Arabidopsis thaliana: one gene and its partners. The protein of the gene in region 2 purifies or fractionates together with the protein of the main gene of each other region. This does not show direct contact. Each region holds a gene or a part of one and is shown on either strand. Other genes may lie near its edges. The genes, in order: AT2G07110, RRP45a, AT5G38890 and RRP41L.

Region 1 (3,200 bases), on a different chromosome or scaffold from region 2:
GGAATAACGATAGTTGTTAGCTTGATTTCCGCCAAATTTGTGCCGTAAAATTTAACTCTTAAATTAATTATGAAAAAGTAATAGTGAAATTATTAAGAAATGATTTCTTAAAGTTTGAGTTTTTCATTTAAAAATTTTAAATAATTCTCATTTCTAAAATCATTAGTTTAACTATTTTAATTAACAGTTAATATTTAAAACTAATTTAATTTTTAAACTAATCTTGAAGAAAAAAATAAAATCCAAACATGATACACATATTCCTTGCCTAAAAATTAGATGATTATTATGAAAAAACTAAATAAATATGCAAATTAAATATATCTAAGCTATTCGAGATTTATGCTAAGAAAACAAGTAATTTGAAAGACTGTTTTGTATGACTGTTTTGTATTTTTTTTTTTATTCTGCTAGATCGTTCAATATGAAAGAAGAAGAATCTCAAGGTAAATTTCTCGACTTCGTAAATTCTATCCTTCATAGTCTCCCTTTTTGTACATCATATTTCTTTAGAACAAACGTTTAATACCTTCTAACTGCCAGAATGGAGGCCACGGTAGAAGTTACACAAAAACATATTCACACTCTCAGTTTATGGGATTACAAACTTTCACTACTATAAACTCTATAAATACTCAAACAGACATTGTTTATACCGGATTATATGTGTTTCAGACAGCATTAGTAAATGTTTACCAAGGTGAAAGGAACATAAAAACGATACAGAACCACCATCATGTACAACCTACACAGAAATTACAAAATGAAAACATCAGATACAACTCAAGTTGACAATATATATATACACAACATTGAATAGTTACTCACCTGAATAATCACTGAGGTGGTGGTATTTGGAACAACTCTCAAAACACAAATACTCTGTAGCGTCCTTTTCAGTATCGTTTCATACTCTTTTTCAACTTTTCCTATCAATATTCAAAGCAAAAGAAATTCACATCTAAAAACCAAGAATCACCTGTACTACATACTCAAGCGACAAAACAAGCCTCTTTCTGAAAAACTAAACGCATTTACGATTACCAATCTATCCGGTTTAAGGCTTCCATATGACTTCAAACAAGCCTTCTCAGCATTTTCGTTCTTCTTCGTTCTTGCTTTAGGTCCGTATTGCGCAGATAGAACTTTTGTATCCTCTGAAAATATAAACGAGAGAGTTCCATGTATCCCATTCAAAAAGGATAAAAACAACTTTGTACCCATAATAGATATTGAGAAAGCTGATAAAGTACCTTCTGACCAACTAGGAGAGCCATGAGGACGATGAAGGATATTACGCGAATAAGCAAGAGGTTTCAGCTGACAAGTAAGTCTTTCACGAGTTATATTTCAAGTAAAAAAAAAAGATATAATCTTAAAAATTGTAACTACATAAGATAGTTTTAGTTTTATTAATTAACTACATAATAACGAATAAAAAATAAACATAAATTAGCAAAAACAATCAATAATTGTTTTTCACAATTTTCAAAACAAACTCACGCTTCACAATTTTCAAAACAAACCCACGCTACACGTGGGTATTTATCTAGTATAATATAAAAGACATGAAAAAAGAATCACATTTCAAAGACTGTTTGTACTCGAAAAATCGAAATTCTAAACTTGCAGTGATCTGAATTCCAAAGGAACCGAGGTCAAACTTGGAAGATGGACACATTGAGAAAACCCAAGAGAGACAGAATCTATTTGAATCTTCTTGCAGAAGTCTCCCCTCGCAATAAAGATGCAACCCACTCCAGTTTGATTGTCGTCACAGCACAGGATAAGGGTCATGTCATGGATGAAGTAACTAATATCAGAAAGCTGATGGAATAGCGAGGGAAAATCAGGTATTGACAGTGTCATCAAGTTTAACCACACCACATTATTACTAGAGTTAATCATGTCATTTGTTACCCAAATCTCTGTATTACTTGATATACGAGATTGCTTTAACAATGCAAACTGATCGCCCTTAAATACAGTGAGGACAAGTTTATCTCGTAAGCCAGAAACATGCTTCCCACAAGGAAGGAGACAAAAGTGCATGGATATTTCTGTGGAGAAATCAAAGCTTCCGAGAAAATGCTCACGAGTATCTTCATTGTAAGCAGTCCAATACAAATTTCCATTCAAGGACACATATTCACCTCGACCTGCCAGCATTGGCCATTCCGGGGAATCAATGAACTTAAACGCTTGAGACGCACATTCAAAGATCGCAAATCTGTGGCCGATTTTCAGTGTAGTGTCATAGAAACGACTAAAATACCCAAAGATCTTGTAATCCTTTTCGGGTTTACAAGCATCGTATCCTACACCGCAAAAACGGAAATCTCTGTCCTCCTTATACTCGATCCACCCAACCTGTCTTAACCATGGATTCCAAATGGTAACCCCTTGGTTCCAAAAGTCACGAAACAATAATCCATCGCAAGCCGTGATCCTGGTAAATGCCCACTTCTCAGCCTTAAAATGAAATTGACAGGCTAGCTCACGCACCTCTATCTTCGGATCAAAGTCGTCCAGGCCGATGGTTCCTATCGAATAAATCTTGGATTCGGGCAGGATGATAAATTGGGGACGTGCACAACCCAAGCTTTTCTTGATGAACCATTTGTCGTTGAGAAGATCGTTCAGTGTTTACATACGGATCTTACCCGAACAAGGGATCCAGGTGGAAGCCGACACAGTATCTCTTCCTCCAACTCCCACGGAAGCTTCCCCGACGCCATTACCTTTCTCCGACTTCGGTGGCTTTAGAGGAGAATCTATATATATACCACCGCGTGTACGACTCAAATAAATAAGAAAAGGAATATTTTTATCTGTTACGAAAATGAAATAACACCCTTTTTTGGGGATAATATTAAATAATTCTTAAAAGTAAATGTCAAATAATTCTTAATAATTATTTAGGAAAGAGATTTATCTTCCAATAATAAAATTACTGAATAATTATTTCTCAAGGATAAGAAGTTAAAAACATAGATTTGAGGAATAAATAAAAAAACAATTATTCTTTAAATTGTTTATAAAAAAGAAAGAAATATATCTTTCAATAAGAACTGCATATTTTTGTAAGAAATAAGAAAAAAAATTCATTTCTTAAGAGTTAAGAACAAGAAGACAATATTTGGAGAAATATTCTGTTTATATATTCTGTTTTTAATTGTTAACCTTGTAACCTGTTTACG
Region 2 (4,414 bases):
CAATCTGCGTTTCCAAAAGTCATAAACAGTCATTTTCTTAACACGAAGAGGTCTTGCAGGTGAGGATCTACTCTGCGAAAGGAGTGAAGGAAGAGATGCTAGAAGCACAAAGGGACTTCATACAAGCATCGGTAGGGCTGAGCAGCAAAGGGAAGCTCTTACTACCCAAAATGCTCCATTGTTATGCCAAGAGTTTGGTGGAGGATTCGAACTTGGGGGTCTGGATATCAAGGTACCTTCCTCCACATCAAGCTGCTTTTGTGGAGCAATGCATCTCTCAGAGAAGACAAAGCCTTCTCGCTTCACGGAACTGCGGAATACTCCCCTTCGATTCTCGTTTCAGATACCTGTTTCTCCCCGACGACAACACCTCGTTGTAATAACAGTTCAAAGACTCTCTTCTGTTGTAAAAAAAGCTTTAACCGACCTCATAAGAACGAACAGTGAGAGGAGGCTGTTTCATGATCATGGTTACTACTATTATTCCAACATAGCTTTTGGCTTATAGTGTACATGTTATTCAGGATATGCATATTAATTCTGAGAAGTCTCAATATGTTGTGTTTCAACTTTCTTTCAGAAAGACATAAATGGAAGAGTTGAGACTAGTCATCTATTTAAGTGCGAGAAGTCTCAACATGTCTTGATCATATCGACGTTTTTATAGCTTAGTGTTGCTGATAAGATTTCTACAACTAAAATCTTTATTTACAATCGACGACCACAGCAAATGTTTTATTTATGTCTCTTCCTACACAACTACAATAGGTCCCAAAACTTCAGACTTAGCCAAAGTATGATGCCGCTTCACCTTCTGTGAGCTCCTCTCACGGTTGTATGCTTCAACCTACACCATGAAAACAAAGCACAACAAAATCAAATCCTTAAATCAATAGAAATCAATCTAAAAAGGAAAACGCTCCGGATTACGAAACCCTACTGCATCTCTAATTATCTTTGTTGTTGCAGAAGCTCTTGAAGAAGCAAGACGCAGGCAATGAAGGATTACACTCTGGTTCACGCCTTCTTCTCCTGGTTTTTGGATTGCGCATATATCGCCATTGGCATTGACTGTCACAGTCATTCTCCCACACATAACAGCTTCTTCAACGTAAGTTGGGTCCATCACCTGCATAAGAACACAACACACTTGTAATCTCAGATGCAAACAAAAACGTAGTAAACAAGATTATCAATAAACAAAACACAATTTTTTTACCAAGATACTGCCTTTATTAAAAAATCCAAACGTGAAGGCTATTGGGAGATGATGTATTATCAAAGGAAGTGGTTCCCTTTCCTGTAAAAGAAACCAAATATAGTACAAAACAGTTGAAGTTGAGAACTTCCTTCTCTCTAGTTATTAAGTTCATCAACTAAACTGAAAAAAAAAAAATATGAATTACTAACTTCGGGTGGATGTATGATCACGTCTTGACTGTTGTCCCCTCCTACAGTGCAATCAGGTCTCCTGAAAGTCATGAGTGCGGCTAAGGCAGCAACATTAGCAGCATCAACCAAGTTCCTGTAAGAGAGTGAGTAACAATATACACATAAAAGATCATTCTCACAACAAGAACCTTGGATAAACATGAAGAAGACCTACCCTCCATTGTCCAAAATGTGAAGATCAATGCGAACAGACCAAACCAGCTTTCCGGCTAGAACACAAAGCGACTCTGTATCTACTGCACGGCTTTCTCTGCAACCAACAACACAAAGACCATCAATACAAAAAACTTTGTTTGTAGCATCAAATCAAAAAGAGAGGTTTACCGTAGAGCACGGTCTATAATACGGCCAAGCTCAACAGCAGATTCACCAGGATGCCCTGGCTCAAACGATGGATCAGCCATTGGAGAAAACTCGGTGAAGATAGAGAAGGAGCCTTCACTAGGTCTGTCTTTGTAAGGTTGTACTAGCTGAGCAGTCACAAAAGCCATTACATGAGTCTGACCCAGTTGAACTTGTGAGCTGCCATATTCCCTATCGAAAACTCACACAGATTAAATTAATCATCAGTAACAACATTGCAAAACCAGAGATCAAAAGCATCAACAAAAATTGAAGCTTTAAAGGTAAACATAATCAATGAATAGGAGAAAAACTCACTTGCCAAACTTAATAGTAAGCTTGCGGTAATCATAAAGGCCACGACCATCGACTCTGAGCTCAGATTGCAACGCAGATTCAACGAATTTGCTCTCATTCACAGTCAACCTCCACATATTATTCAACCTCCCCTCCATTGTTTGCTAGTGAGCTACTACCACAAATTGATGATTGAGAAACAAAACAAGATACAAAAAATCAAAACTTTCAGAATATAAAAAAGCCTAGAGAATCAACATAAGCAGCTTTCCCCAGAGGGAGATTAAACCACTAACCTTCTTCCGTTCAGCTAGGGTTTTGTGGCGCGAGGATTTTGTGAACAGAGAAGAGGAGGGATTTATTTCAATTTAACCCCTCGTCTTTTCAGTATTTGTCTTATGGACCAATTTTCATTTATCTCTTTTTTTTTCCTTTTAATAATATTTGTTTGATGGAGGGACCGTGTCTAGTCCTTCTCTTATCAAACGACTGACCAGCTCTTATCATTGGCCCCGTTACCCTAACGGTCACAAGGGTTTTCGTCTGTTTGATACACCCAGTCTTGTCTATCTTGACTATTCTGGTTATCCCGCAGAAGATTATGAGGTTGATTTGGGTTCCCTTGTAGAAGCTACACTCATGGGAGCGTCTTCCAGATGACTATTAATTATTATGTGGATGGTGATACAGAGGATATTGTTGGTTATGTTACGAATCTGGTTGCAGGGATAAGCAATGTTAAAACCCTTCACTTGTCCGCTGTTTCTCTTGAGGTCAGTCTCTGCTACGTCTTCTTCTTCTATTGGTTGATTCTATTTGAAGTGCATGCTAGCTAGCAAAGTCTCATTTTGTGTATATGTTTGTTTTGGTTGTGACAATAGATCCCAGGTATTTTACTCGTGCTGTAAATCAATCCCGGTGTTTCCCAACCTCGTTACTTTATCTTTTGAGTGTAACAAAGAAAGAGGCTGGTAAGTGGAGCCACTTCTCCTTAACTACTCTCCAAATCTAGAAACTTAAGTCATCAAGGTATCATCTATTTCGTTCGATCACCACGCACTTCTGTTTCTTTGCTAAAGTTATTATTCCCATGAATTTGCTTATGCCTTGTTCTTTTTGCTTTCACGGTCTTGTGCATGAAGTTACAGACAAACGTGGTGACGCCTGCGTTTGCACCCCTAAGAGGGATAAGAGGAAGAGCTGAAACGAATGAGGCATTTCTTGGCAAATTTAAAACGTCTTGAAACTGTCAATGTTAATGTCGAATTGAGTGAAGGCAAGGATGTTAAGAAAAGGTTCCTGACGATCACCAATGCTCTTATGAAGCTTCCCAGAGTTTCATCAAACTGTCTGATCCATTTCACCATGGAATGTCTAGTAGGTGAATTCTACTACTTTAGTTTGGCAGTGTATTTTTTGTTAATTTCATTGGCTTTCGCCGTACTAAGATCATTTCTATATACATTATAATGGGTTCGTTGCCTAATGACTCCAAAATGCTTCGGGGTCTTGGTTTCGTTCAACTGGATAAACTCTAGTATTCTAGTTGAATATAAAGTAAAAACTTGCATTTCCAGTCTAGTATATGTAATGATTGAAAATCAAGAATTTATTAGCTTATAGCTTTGCCAAAAATACCACATATACAATACGAAGGAATCAAAGAGTAAGTAAATTAAGATCAAATTCAGTAGTCGAATTCAATAGGATTCAATGAACAGAATCACCAAAAATTGAATCAAAATCACAATTCCCTTATACACATGTCTATACTTTAGAATACATGTAAGAAAAAATATCTATGTACCTCGTTGTGAACCTAAATTAGCAGTTGTGGAAGAGACCCATCTGCTCATTTTCCCATGAGCTCTCCTAAACTAGCTTCTTGAATCTCCAAATTAATCAGCCAAAAATATCTCATTCTTTCTTGATTCGCCTGCCATTTGGATCGTTACTTCAGGCACGAACCCTTGACCCCATAGACAGAGAATATAACATGTCTGTTAATCATTCAGGAGTGGAGGCCGTTGTATCAGCGGCTCTCTGCCGCACCATCTCCATCACCGCTGCTCTGCGTCTTGAATCTGCCTGTTGCTGCTTTCTACTAAAATGAGCTCTCAACTCTCTGCAAAAAATAAACTTGTCAGATCATTATTAAACACATCACCTTCTTGAACAAATCTATTCTGATAATTGAAAATTTGCTTTATAAGTAGTTAGATTACATACCTGCATTTGGGGACTTTGCATTGGGGATCTCTGCAGTTTCGGGAGTGCAATCGGAAGAGGGACCACATTTTCTTACAAGCGATGCAACCTCTGG
Region 3 (4,396 bases), on a different chromosome or scaffold from region 2:
CGAGCAAAAAAAAACAGTTTTTTTAAGGATTCATTGTTTAATGTACGAGCAAAAGCATCAACCTTTCAGATAAAAAGCATCAATCCGATGAAACCCAAAAACCATCATAAGCTCATCGATCAACATCAGATGATCAGTAATGAATGGTATCAAAATCCAATGATCATCAAAGAAACTTTCAAAGGAAAACAAAAAACAGAGGAATCGATGAGTACCTTTGTGATAGAGACCTGAGAAAATCCAGAAGCAAGAGAAAACCCAGGAATTTTCCGGTATTGACTAATTCTAAAATTGAAGATTTTTCAGGTTCGTCGAAAAAGTGCAAAATGAAGTTTCCTGAATAATAGCGATCCTTTCTCTCTCGTCTTTGTCTTCTTCTACCTTTTGATCCATAAGCCTTTTTGGTCGAAATTTAACCAGGGAAAAACAGAAAGTTTCGTAAATAGTCCCTTTAATTTTACATATATTTAGTTATGACCCCAAACGTTTCGATTATAAAGCTTAAACTTATTCTAATTGTGACCCATACATTTTTGTATACAAAAACCATTTCTTTTCTCGGCAGCACCAAGGGCATACAGATTTACATCTCTTAGGAAGTTTGTTTCTTGATTTTCTGCTAAGTTTTTATACTACCAACTCACCAAGAAATTGCGACAATCGAATGAATTTTTAAGTTGTTCCGAGCTAAGCCTAGCATTTCCACATTGTTGGAGTTATGGATTTATGTTCAAATTCTAACAACAAAATGTCTTTCGAGTTTAAGAAGTTGTAAGTATCCTAATAATAATAGTATCCTGACTATTGTCGAATAAAGGTCAAGTTGGTCTAAAGTTATCTCTACACTTGATAACAAACAACAGAAGAGCTCAAAATTGTAATAATCTCAAATGTCTGTCTTGCTGCAGAGACCACACCTCATTATGTGAGAGAAGCCAAGTGTTGTCTTGAATTCAATTACCCACCTTGGCAACTTTTCTCTGCTCGGTTTGGCCCGACAAGGGGCACTGCATCTCTGTCCAACTTATCGGAACCATTGTTTCGCCTGCACAATCACCAGACCACATAAACATTTCGATTACTCAAACGGAAATTAACTTCGTATAGTATTATAAACTGCCCAAAGAAGCAAATGCATCTACACATTAACATACTCCAAGTCCAGGACGAAAATATTTGTTACTCATAATTCCATAATGAGAACTACAAGTTAGAAATGTATTACAATTTGATATGTGATAGATTAGCTATATAATTAGTAATCTTTGCCCTCATTACCCTTTATTTAGTTTCTAAGAGTAGGAAAAAAATTACCCGCAGCACTTTCAGCTGAGACCACACCAAGTTCATTCTTAGCAGTTGACAAGTAGTAAGCCCGTGCATCACCAAGAGACAGCTTTAAGAGTCCAAGTTAAGGCAACTTCAGATATTATCACCCAAAACATCATCTATTATTATAGACTACACCTACGCTACATTCAAATTAAACTATACAAAGAGATATGTAAGTAAAAAGAGAAAATAAATGGCATAATGTAACAAATCTTAGAATTGTCTCTCCTCTAATAAACAATGTTAACCACTGTACTACTAGACAATAAGTGTGAAACATAAGCGCAAGGATACAACCATAGCTCTAACAATGTCACCAGCATGGAAAGACTGATGCATGTCAACTTTGTCAATCTCTGTTGCTCTAACATCTTGTTGCCTATGAAAGAGCAAACACAAGTTAGATCGACACATAAAAGAACAAACCTTGAAAATAAACACCAAAGGAGGATGAGAAATTCACCTAATTACACCAGCAAAATTTTCACGAACGGCTTTTGAACCAACACACAAGATATCAACAGCAGCCATCTTAGTCATAACTTTAGTCACCTATCACGAATAACAGAGAATAGTGAGTGATGAAATTACTCTCTTTTTTTCCAAGTATGAACATCAATGAATCCAATGAAATAAGTGCAGGACTCACTCTTGCTATGACAACAGAACCAGTCTCTGGAATAGGACCATGTGCCTTGTGACCTGTAACTTCCACAATAGCTCTCTGCTTACCATTTTTATCATCCAATAAGTTATATATCCATAACAATCACAAAAACAAGTATAACAATCCAACGATTTCGATTTCGATTACGAATAGATGTGCCAGAAGAATTAATCACTTGGAACAAAGACGAAACCTGATCAATTGATTCGGGAAGAGGAGAAACAATCCGGCAAGTTCCTGTGAGGGAAGCGTAGATGGTGGCGTCGTTGACGTAAGCTCCTTTTCCAGCTTTAAACTCTGTCGCTTTCCCGATTACATCTCCCGGCGTTACTAGCCCCGTCGTCATTGTTTCAAAATTTTCCGATTTGAGAGTATCAAACAAAACCCTAGGAAGGAACCTCTGGGTTTTAGATTGAGAAAATTAAAACAATTCGGAATCCATCCCTTTAGTGTTATATAAATTCAACTTTGACCCTAAATGTTCTGGTTGTAATTTTAAACTATTCTAATTTTGACCCATAGTGTTTTCTTATTACCCAATTCGACCCGGTTAGACTTAAATACCTTAGTCCGACCCGGATACATCTCATACCCGAGTCCGACGCGGTTATTACCCAGTTTCAACTTTCAACAGTCGACGACACTTGCAGAAAAATTCGAGTTTGATTCCTTTAATTGAAAATCCAATAAACAAGCGGGACCTCGATTTGAAATCTCTTTATCCAGATCCATCTCTCCGTCACAATCTTCCATCTACCGTCACCGGAACCGGCGAGTTAGTCGTCGGGATTCCAGATCTGTTTGTCTACGTCTTCCTTCTGTCTCTGTGTTCATCAGAGTACCAATTCGCTCGATTGTTGCTGCATTTCGCGAATTGTATTAGGTTTATAGCGTCTATGAACTCCTGTTTTCGCTCGATTTGAGTAACCTAGGTATTTCTCTACGTTGATTGTTTGGATTTGAAGAAAAGGCGCAAAGTATGAGTAGAAATTTCGGAAGTTTCATGAAGATTTGAGGGATTGAGTTAGGTATTGTAGTTGTAGAGAGAATGCAGAGTTTATCGAGCTCGGCTCCGACACCGGAGGCGATATTAGAATGGTTACAGAAGGAAATGGGGTACAGGCAATTAGGTCCGTATAATGGATCGAGCAAATCTCATGTTCCTTCTATTGATGCTATAAGGAAGATTTGTAGAGGGAATATGATACCTATATGGAATTTTTTGATAAACCGAGTGAAATCGGAGAAGACAGTGGAGAGAATTAGGCGGAATATTACGGTTCATGGGGGAAGTAGTAATGCTAGCATTGGGAGTTCGGTAAATCCTGGGAAGGAGGAGAGTAAGAGTAAAGGAAGGCGGAAGGATAAGACAGTGACTGGTGAGAGTTCGAGTTATGCGGAGGATAGAGAAGCTGCATTGCAGGAAAGGGAATTAGCTGCAAAGGAAGTGGAGAGATTGAGGAACATAGTGAGGAGGCAAAGAAAAGATTTGAAAGCTAGAATGTTGGAGGTCTCTAGAGAAGAAGCAGAGCGGAAGAGGATGCTTGATGAAAGAGCAAATTACAGGTTTGTTTTGAATCTTTCAATTTTGAATACTGTATTTGGATACATTGCTTCTCACTTGTAAAATAATACAATAGAAATAACCTGCACCACTCAGCTCAGGTTCATTTAATATTTTCTCTTGTTGTTGTTATGCTTTATTATCGTTAGTGTTAAGTCCTCAACAGAACCATTACAAGTATGGTTGCTATGTGTAGTATGGTTAGCTGCTTAGAGTTTTGGTGGTATTTCGATTTCGTTTCTCTATGATTTCAGGAGCCATAGATATATAGCCCTGAAGTATTCTTCTTTCGTTTTGTTGATTCTCCAATGATTTTAATATACCCTAGAATGGAATATATGGGATTTAGTCAGGCTATTTTGTTTCTCTGGTTTCATGGATATGCCACATCGCCCATTCTTAAGATTCTCACTTTTGTATGGCGATATTGATTGTCTTTTTGCCCTCTTCATGAACCTCAATCAACAGCATTTATCTATGTTGAAATGCATTGATTCTGTTCATACAACAAATCAAAATATTTGTTGTAGTTATGTTCAGTAGATCTTTCAAATTGTTTAGTGAGTTTTATTTTTCCTTTTTTCAGACACAAGCAAGCATTGTTGGAAGCGTATGATCAACAATGTGATGAAGCAACAAGAATATTTGCAGAGTATCACAAAAGGCTACAAGTCTATGTTAATCAAGCAAATGATGCACAACGGTCTGTCAATTCATCGAATGAAGTGTTAAGCAGCCTCAGTGCTAACAGTGAGAGGGAAGCTGTTTATTCCACTGTCAAAGGAACTAAGTCTGCAGATGATGTCATTCTCATGGAAACAACCCGAGAACGA
Region 4 (5,075 bases), on a different chromosome or scaffold from region 2:
TAATTGTCATTTCAAGAATGCTGAAAGGTCTTAGAATTTACTAGTTACTCTATTAGTTCATGTATCAATCTTAACAAGAAGACAAGAAAAAACAAAAAAAAATCAAAGAGAAAATTGGGAGAAACTAGAAGAAGAAATAAAAAGACAAAAATGGGGAAGAGGTGGGAGATAGAAAGAAACAGTTGTTAGGTGGTGTTGAAAACGTGTGAAGTCTTCTTTGGCTATAAGGGCACAACTGTCCACTTTGCTGCGACACACGTCTTCTCTTCTCTCTCTGACCAAAATAATCACATGTCATGCGGATTAGATTCTTCTTCTTCGTATCGTACGTACTACATGATCAGTTGAAGTTCCGACGTTAGCTGATATTACCTAAACACCCTCCTTCATCACCGCCCCCAACTTGTGTGATGTGTGAACCAGAGAAGACTTTTTCTTTTTTAAGATGCAAAAATCAGTTACTCTTTTCTTCATTTTTCTGTATACTATTCTTAATATCATTCCATTTTCGTATAAATTTAGAAAATCTGATATTAATATCATCCACAAGTTTTTTGAAATTGTAAAGAACAATGTGATTGATTTGTTGAAATTCCCTACTTTAAATTCTGTATGTCTTTGATACCACTCGCAATTGGGATCCATTTCATAGCTAAAGATCTAGTTCCATCAAATCTTATGTGAAAACATACATCGGTTTAAACTACACACAGGTTTAGACTAAATCCGTTTACCTATAACAGCTAAAACCGGTTTCATACCAAGTCTGAGCTACAATCCAAAATCATAGTTATTTATGCTCATTCATCGGAAGCTGAGGCAGACTGTTTCAGACAATCACGCATGATCTCTCCAAGTTTTGAACTAGCATCCAAGCAAAGCTGCATTGCCTGCAATATTTGAAATACAAATGTTTGGTAACATGTCTGCACAGCTCCTATGTCACAATTATATGTTAACAACATAGACCCTATGGTATGAACAGCTTAAAAAGAAAATGAAGAACAGTCTAATTAACCAATATCCATGTGATTTAGACAAACAAAGCAGTTGAATAACATCAATATTCAACACTAAGAAAAGAAAGACCTTTTGTCTCTAACCGTCATCGGCAAATTAAGGACAAGAGATATTATTGAAAGGCATACCTCGTTGATATTAGGTGTTGTCCATTCACCAGTGATGGTTAGCTGAGTGATTTCATAACGAGATGGCATGCACGTCATCATAAAGCTGCCATCTTCACATCCTTCCTCCTCTGTAACCGGGTCTATCATAAGGCTTTTGCCTATGCAAGACTTCGAAAATTGCAGGCATAATTTCAGTGTATCAAAATAAAGAATTAACAGATATCTATACGTTTTACATGTCTCAGACTATGGTGCACTTGTATATGTCAATGTATGTGTTACTTTCTTCTTCACTTAATGCTAATAAACATAAGAGATAACGCAGAGGAATCAATGCAACTATTGTAACATACACATACCACTGAAACAGCTGTGATAAGGTCATACATCATAATTCCGGCATCAGCTAAAGCAAGACTAGCACATGATATCAAAACAGAGAGGTCACCTGCAATACAATACCATTGGAGAAAATCAGAAAATGCCAAACAACAATCCAATAAGTTGCTTCCATAATCAACTCCACGAATGTCCAAGCGAACCAATAAGCAATCACATTCTGGTAAAATAATTTTGATAGCAGTCGAGTTATTGTTAAGACTTACTTCCTCCAGATTCAAGAACCAATGCAAAAACATCAACGGTTGTTTTTGGAAACGTCTCCATCATTATTACACCTTCCAATGCTTTGTGAAGCATTGATGAATATTCTTTGTGATCAGTTCCCTAAAATACCACAATGTATTACTAAATTTGATGAAACAAGTTAACACCAAATGTTGCGAAATTTGGAGATTACCTGGCCAAGAGTAGGGGAAGCAAAATTTGTATAGCTAACATTACAATTCAATCTACCTACATCACTATAAACCATTGCTTTCTTACTCTCCCTTGGCCCAAATCTAAAATTTTTGAACACACAAAAGCGAATTTAGCTGACAGAAAAGTTAATGCAAATCCTGAATATACAAGTTTTCTAATCTAATAATACTCACACTGAAACAATAACTTTAGTGTTCCCAAACTCAGCATAAGCAGAACCAGAAGCAGAACTCACAGCACCAGTTTGAAGTACTGAAAGAAGCATTTTTCACAAAAGAAACAAAATTCAAATCTAGTTTAGTCTCACAAATAACTGGAGTCATATGAATCCAACCGTAATTTCACAATGAAGAACCCTAACGATTAAGAATTTAGAGGAATCAAAGGTGTTTTTACATGCGGGTCGGCATTGGTGGAAGCCACGGCCATCAGGACGAGACCAATCGAGGTCGGAATCTTTGAATATAGGAAGCCGACTTCTTCCGACGATTTTAGGTGAATACGTTGGAGTTGCGGCTCCAGGTTTAGCTGCCATTGTTCTGAGCTGAGACTAAACAAAATCGAATCTGATTACTGAGAAAGAGTTGAGAAATCAATGGGTCAATCTCAGAGCTACGATGCGAAAGAAGCAACAGTTGGTCTAATAAGAAGAATCGTTACCCTGAGGGTTTGAGAGACAGAGAACGCGGCGGAGAGAGTGGAAGAACGATAAACGCCGTTAAAAGATTTTTAGGGTTTAGCAAAAAATAATTAAAAAAAAGGGGGAAATTGTATATTTAAGTAACTAAAGTAATAAACATTTTTATTTACGTAGTTTCAATTTACTAGAAGATTTTACTTTTGTAATCATTTTAAAATATTTGGTATAAATCTTAACATTAAAAAGAAAAGTGTAGTAATCAAATAAAAATAGAGTTGTTGATATCAAATAAAAATACTATAGCTAATAGCTCTAAATGTTTGACAATTAATGGAATTTAGGTGAATGGGATATAGAAAAATATATTTTCCACTAAATACTTCTTTACATATTCATACCATTAATAATAAATCCAATACCATTAAGGAAAACATATTTACATATATTAACTAATAATACAAATTAAGTATAACCCAAAGATTGAAATGAGGACACATAACCATTAAGCTAAATCATCATAATGCCACCTCTTAAAAACATTATTATGGGTTTCATTATGCCTCGATCATACGATGTTTGGCATTTTCCGCATTACTAGGCCACTTTCCTCCATTTTCATTTTATTCGAAATGCAATCATCAACGTCGTCGGTCCATATCACACGTTTTGTCCACACCAGTATACAGTAGTAACATCCTCCAATAATGAATAAGAAGTACTCCTATGTTTTTTTAGCCTGTATATTGAAATTAATGCAATTTAATACGCCAGTACCTCACAACAAATCAAAAATCAAAGGACTCAGATAAAAAGTCAAAGGAGAAGGCACCGTTTCTTTCTGGGAAGTGAGTTAAAACGAAAACATCTCTGTGGAAAAACCGAAGCCCAGTGGCTAGTACCATAACTCTCAGATTTCTTTCTTTCTTTCATTATCTAGTTTCTATAGAAAAGAAAGAAAAAAAAAAAAAGGTACGTAATCCGACACTTTAATTAAACAAATCTTCGTTTCAGACAAAGACAACCTCGTGGATTGTGTTAAGAACTGCCCGGATCTTTAAACATTCTCACGTCATCTCCATGAAATTTTAAGAACCAGGTATTTTTTTTACGTTATTTGATTTCTTACGAATAGGAACATGTAAAGTAGGTTTCATTATCCTTAGACAGCTCTAGATTTTTCTTTTCGATCTTTTTTATTATTACAAGATCGGCTCATACTCATACTTTGTGATCACGACGATTCATCAAATCCTCTGTTTTTCTTCCTCTTCAATTTTTCGACTTGTATCAATTTTTTATTTTACTCTTTGCATGATCGGAATCAAGGATCAGAAACTGTGTTTGATCGTTGTTTGAATTCAATATTCATCAATACATGTATAGATTTCTGATTGTGTGTCAACTGTGGCGTAGGTTAGGCGCTACCTCGATTTGTGAAGATCTTTCTTCTCTGATGCGTCGACAATATCAAAGTGTTGGCTTCTTTCGTTGACATAACATTGGTTTTTGAGATCGATCACATATGAGAAGGCTCTTTAATGGCGTCCTCAAACTCAGAGAAGAGATGGATATTCCCTCTAGCAATGGCTTCTCTCATGTTCATATTCCTTATAGCTGCATCCTTCAACATGGGTCTCCTCTCTTCTGTCCGTTCTATTAACTCACTCATCTTCTCCTACAATCTATCGACCACCAACGAGACACGAGTCGAATTTGCAGAGTCAAAGATCAATCAGTCCTCGCATCCTCCTCCAGTACAGCCTAGTCTTCCTCGCTTTGGTTATCTAGTTTCAGGGTCAAGAGGTGACTTAGAGAGTCTGTGGAGAGTGTTACGAACATTATACCATCCTAGGAATCAGTACGTTGTTCATCTTGATCTCGAGTCTCCTGCTGAAGAGAGGCTTGAGCTGGCTAAACGTGTGAGCCAAGATCCTGTTTTTAGCGATGTTGGAAATGTTCACATGATCACAAAGGCTAACCTTGTTACGTATCGAGGACCCACAATGGTGGCTAACACGCTCCACGCTTGCGCTATTCTCTTGAAGCAGAGTAAAGAATGGGATTGGTTCATCAATCTCAGTGCCTCGGATTATCCTCTAGTCACTCAAGATGGTAATATAGTTATGTATCTAGTCTCTCTTTCTTCGTTTCAAATAATCTCTGCCCGGATTATCAATGCCCCTTGCTTGCAGATCTGATTGATACATTCTCGGGACTGGACCGGAACCTCAACTTTATCGACCACAGTAGCAAACTAGGCTGGAAAGAGTAATGATTATTTCTCTGTATAGTACATTTGAGACATTTTTAGTTCTGTTTTCATCCAAATGCGGTTTTTTCGCAGAGAAAAACGAGCAAAGCCGCTGATCATAGACCCGGGGCTTTACTCCACAAAGAAGTCAGATGTCTTCTGGGTTACACCTCGCAGAACAATGCCAACTGCATTCAAACTATTTACCGGTAATTCAGTGATTAGTGAGTAA

The links.
Region 1: the proteins of RRP45a (region 2) and AT2G07110 fractionate together in Arabidopsis thaliana (co-fractionation; one large-scale study listed by BioGRID). This does not show direct contact.
Region 3: the proteins of RRP45a (region 2) and AT5G38890 fractionate together in Arabidopsis thaliana (co-fractionation; one large-scale study listed by BioGRID). This does not show direct contact.
Region 4: the proteins of RRP45a (region 2) and RRP41L fractionate together in Arabidopsis thaliana (co-fractionation; one large-scale study listed by BioGRID). This does not show direct contact.

What each region holds. Positions count from the first base shown.
Region 1 is NC_003071.7:2,951,985-2,955,184, forward strand, and holds AT2G07110 (exosome complex exonuclease RRP46-like protein), read right to left. Parts: upstream 1,225-3,200; coding exon 993-1,224; intron 930-992; coding exon 829-929; intron 746-828; coding exon 626-745; downstream 1-625. Other genes in the region: AT2G07120 (F-box associated ubiquitination effector family protein), read right to left, coding at 1,621-2,607, 2,664-2,738.
Region 2 is NC_003074.8:4,154,180-4,158,593, reverse strand, and holds RRP45a (ribonuclease PH45A), read right to left. Parts: upstream 2,541-4,414; 5' UTR 2,388-2,540; exon of another isoform or gene 2,264-2,387; 5' UTR 2,250-2,263; coding exon 2,113-2,249; intron 1,987-2,112; coding exon 1,777-1,986; intron 1,703-1,776; coding exon 1,607-1,702; intron 1,526-1,606; coding exon 1,411-1,525; intron 1,301-1,410; coding exon 1,220-1,300; coding exon of another isoform or gene 1,193-1,219; exon of another isoform or gene 1,130-1,192; coding exon 941-1,129; coding exon of another isoform or gene 905-940; exon of another isoform or gene 848-904; coding exon 752-847; 3' UTR 630-751; downstream 1-629. Other genes in the region: AT3G13000 (ubiquinone biosynthesis protein (Protein of unknown function, DUF547)), read left to right, coding at 60-380; HAC5 (histone acetyltransferase of the CBP family 5), read right to left, coding at 4,099-4,216, 4,321-4,414. UniProt on the Arabidopsis thaliana protein: Probable 3'->5' exoribonuclease involved in the regulation of cuticular wax biosynthesis. Can perform exosomal functions and partially complement the yeast rrp45 null mutant.
Region 3 is NC_003076.8:15,567,456-15,571,851, reverse strand, and holds AT5G38890 (Nucleic acid-binding, OB-fold-like protein), read right to left. Parts: upstream 2,435-4,396; 5' UTR 2,346-2,434; coding exon 2,193-2,345; intron 2,057-2,192; coding exon 1,982-2,056; intron 1,885-1,981; coding exon 1,796-1,884; intron 1,712-1,795; coding exon 1,627-1,711; intron 1,397-1,626; coding exon 1,315-1,396; intron 1,046-1,314; coding exon 954-1,045; 3' UTR 683-953; downstream 1-682. Other genes in the region: AT5G38895 (RING/U-box superfamily protein), read right to left, coding at 216-397, 548-577; AUG5 (HAUS augmin-like complex subunit), read left to right, coding at 3,048-3,565, 4,150-4,396.
Region 4 is NC_003075.7:13,737,373-13,742,447, reverse strand, and holds RRP41L (3'-5'-exoribonuclease family protein), read right to left. Parts: upstream 2,701-5,075; 5' UTR 2,613-2,700; exon of another isoform or gene 2,503-2,612; 5' UTR 2,488-2,502; coding exon 2,349-2,487; intron 2,277-2,348; exon of another isoform or gene 2,218-2,276; coding exon of another isoform or gene 2,205-2,217; coding exon 2,126-2,204; intron 2,033-2,125; coding exon 1,930-2,032; intron 1,857-1,929; coding exon 1,736-1,856; intron 1,579-1,735; coding exon 1,490-1,578; coding exon of another isoform or gene 1,421-1,489; exon of another isoform or gene 1,299-1,420; coding exon 1,149-1,298; intron 891-1,148; coding exon 801-890; 3' UTR 550-800; downstream 1-549. Other genes in the region: AT4G27480 (Core-2/I-branching beta-1,6-N-acetylglucosaminyltransferase family protein), read left to right, coding at 4,131-4,704, 4,785-4,860, 4,937-5,052. UniProt on the Arabidopsis thaliana protein: Non-catalytic component of the RNA exosome complex which has 3'->5' exoribonuclease activity and participates in a multitude of cellular RNA processing, maturation and degradation events.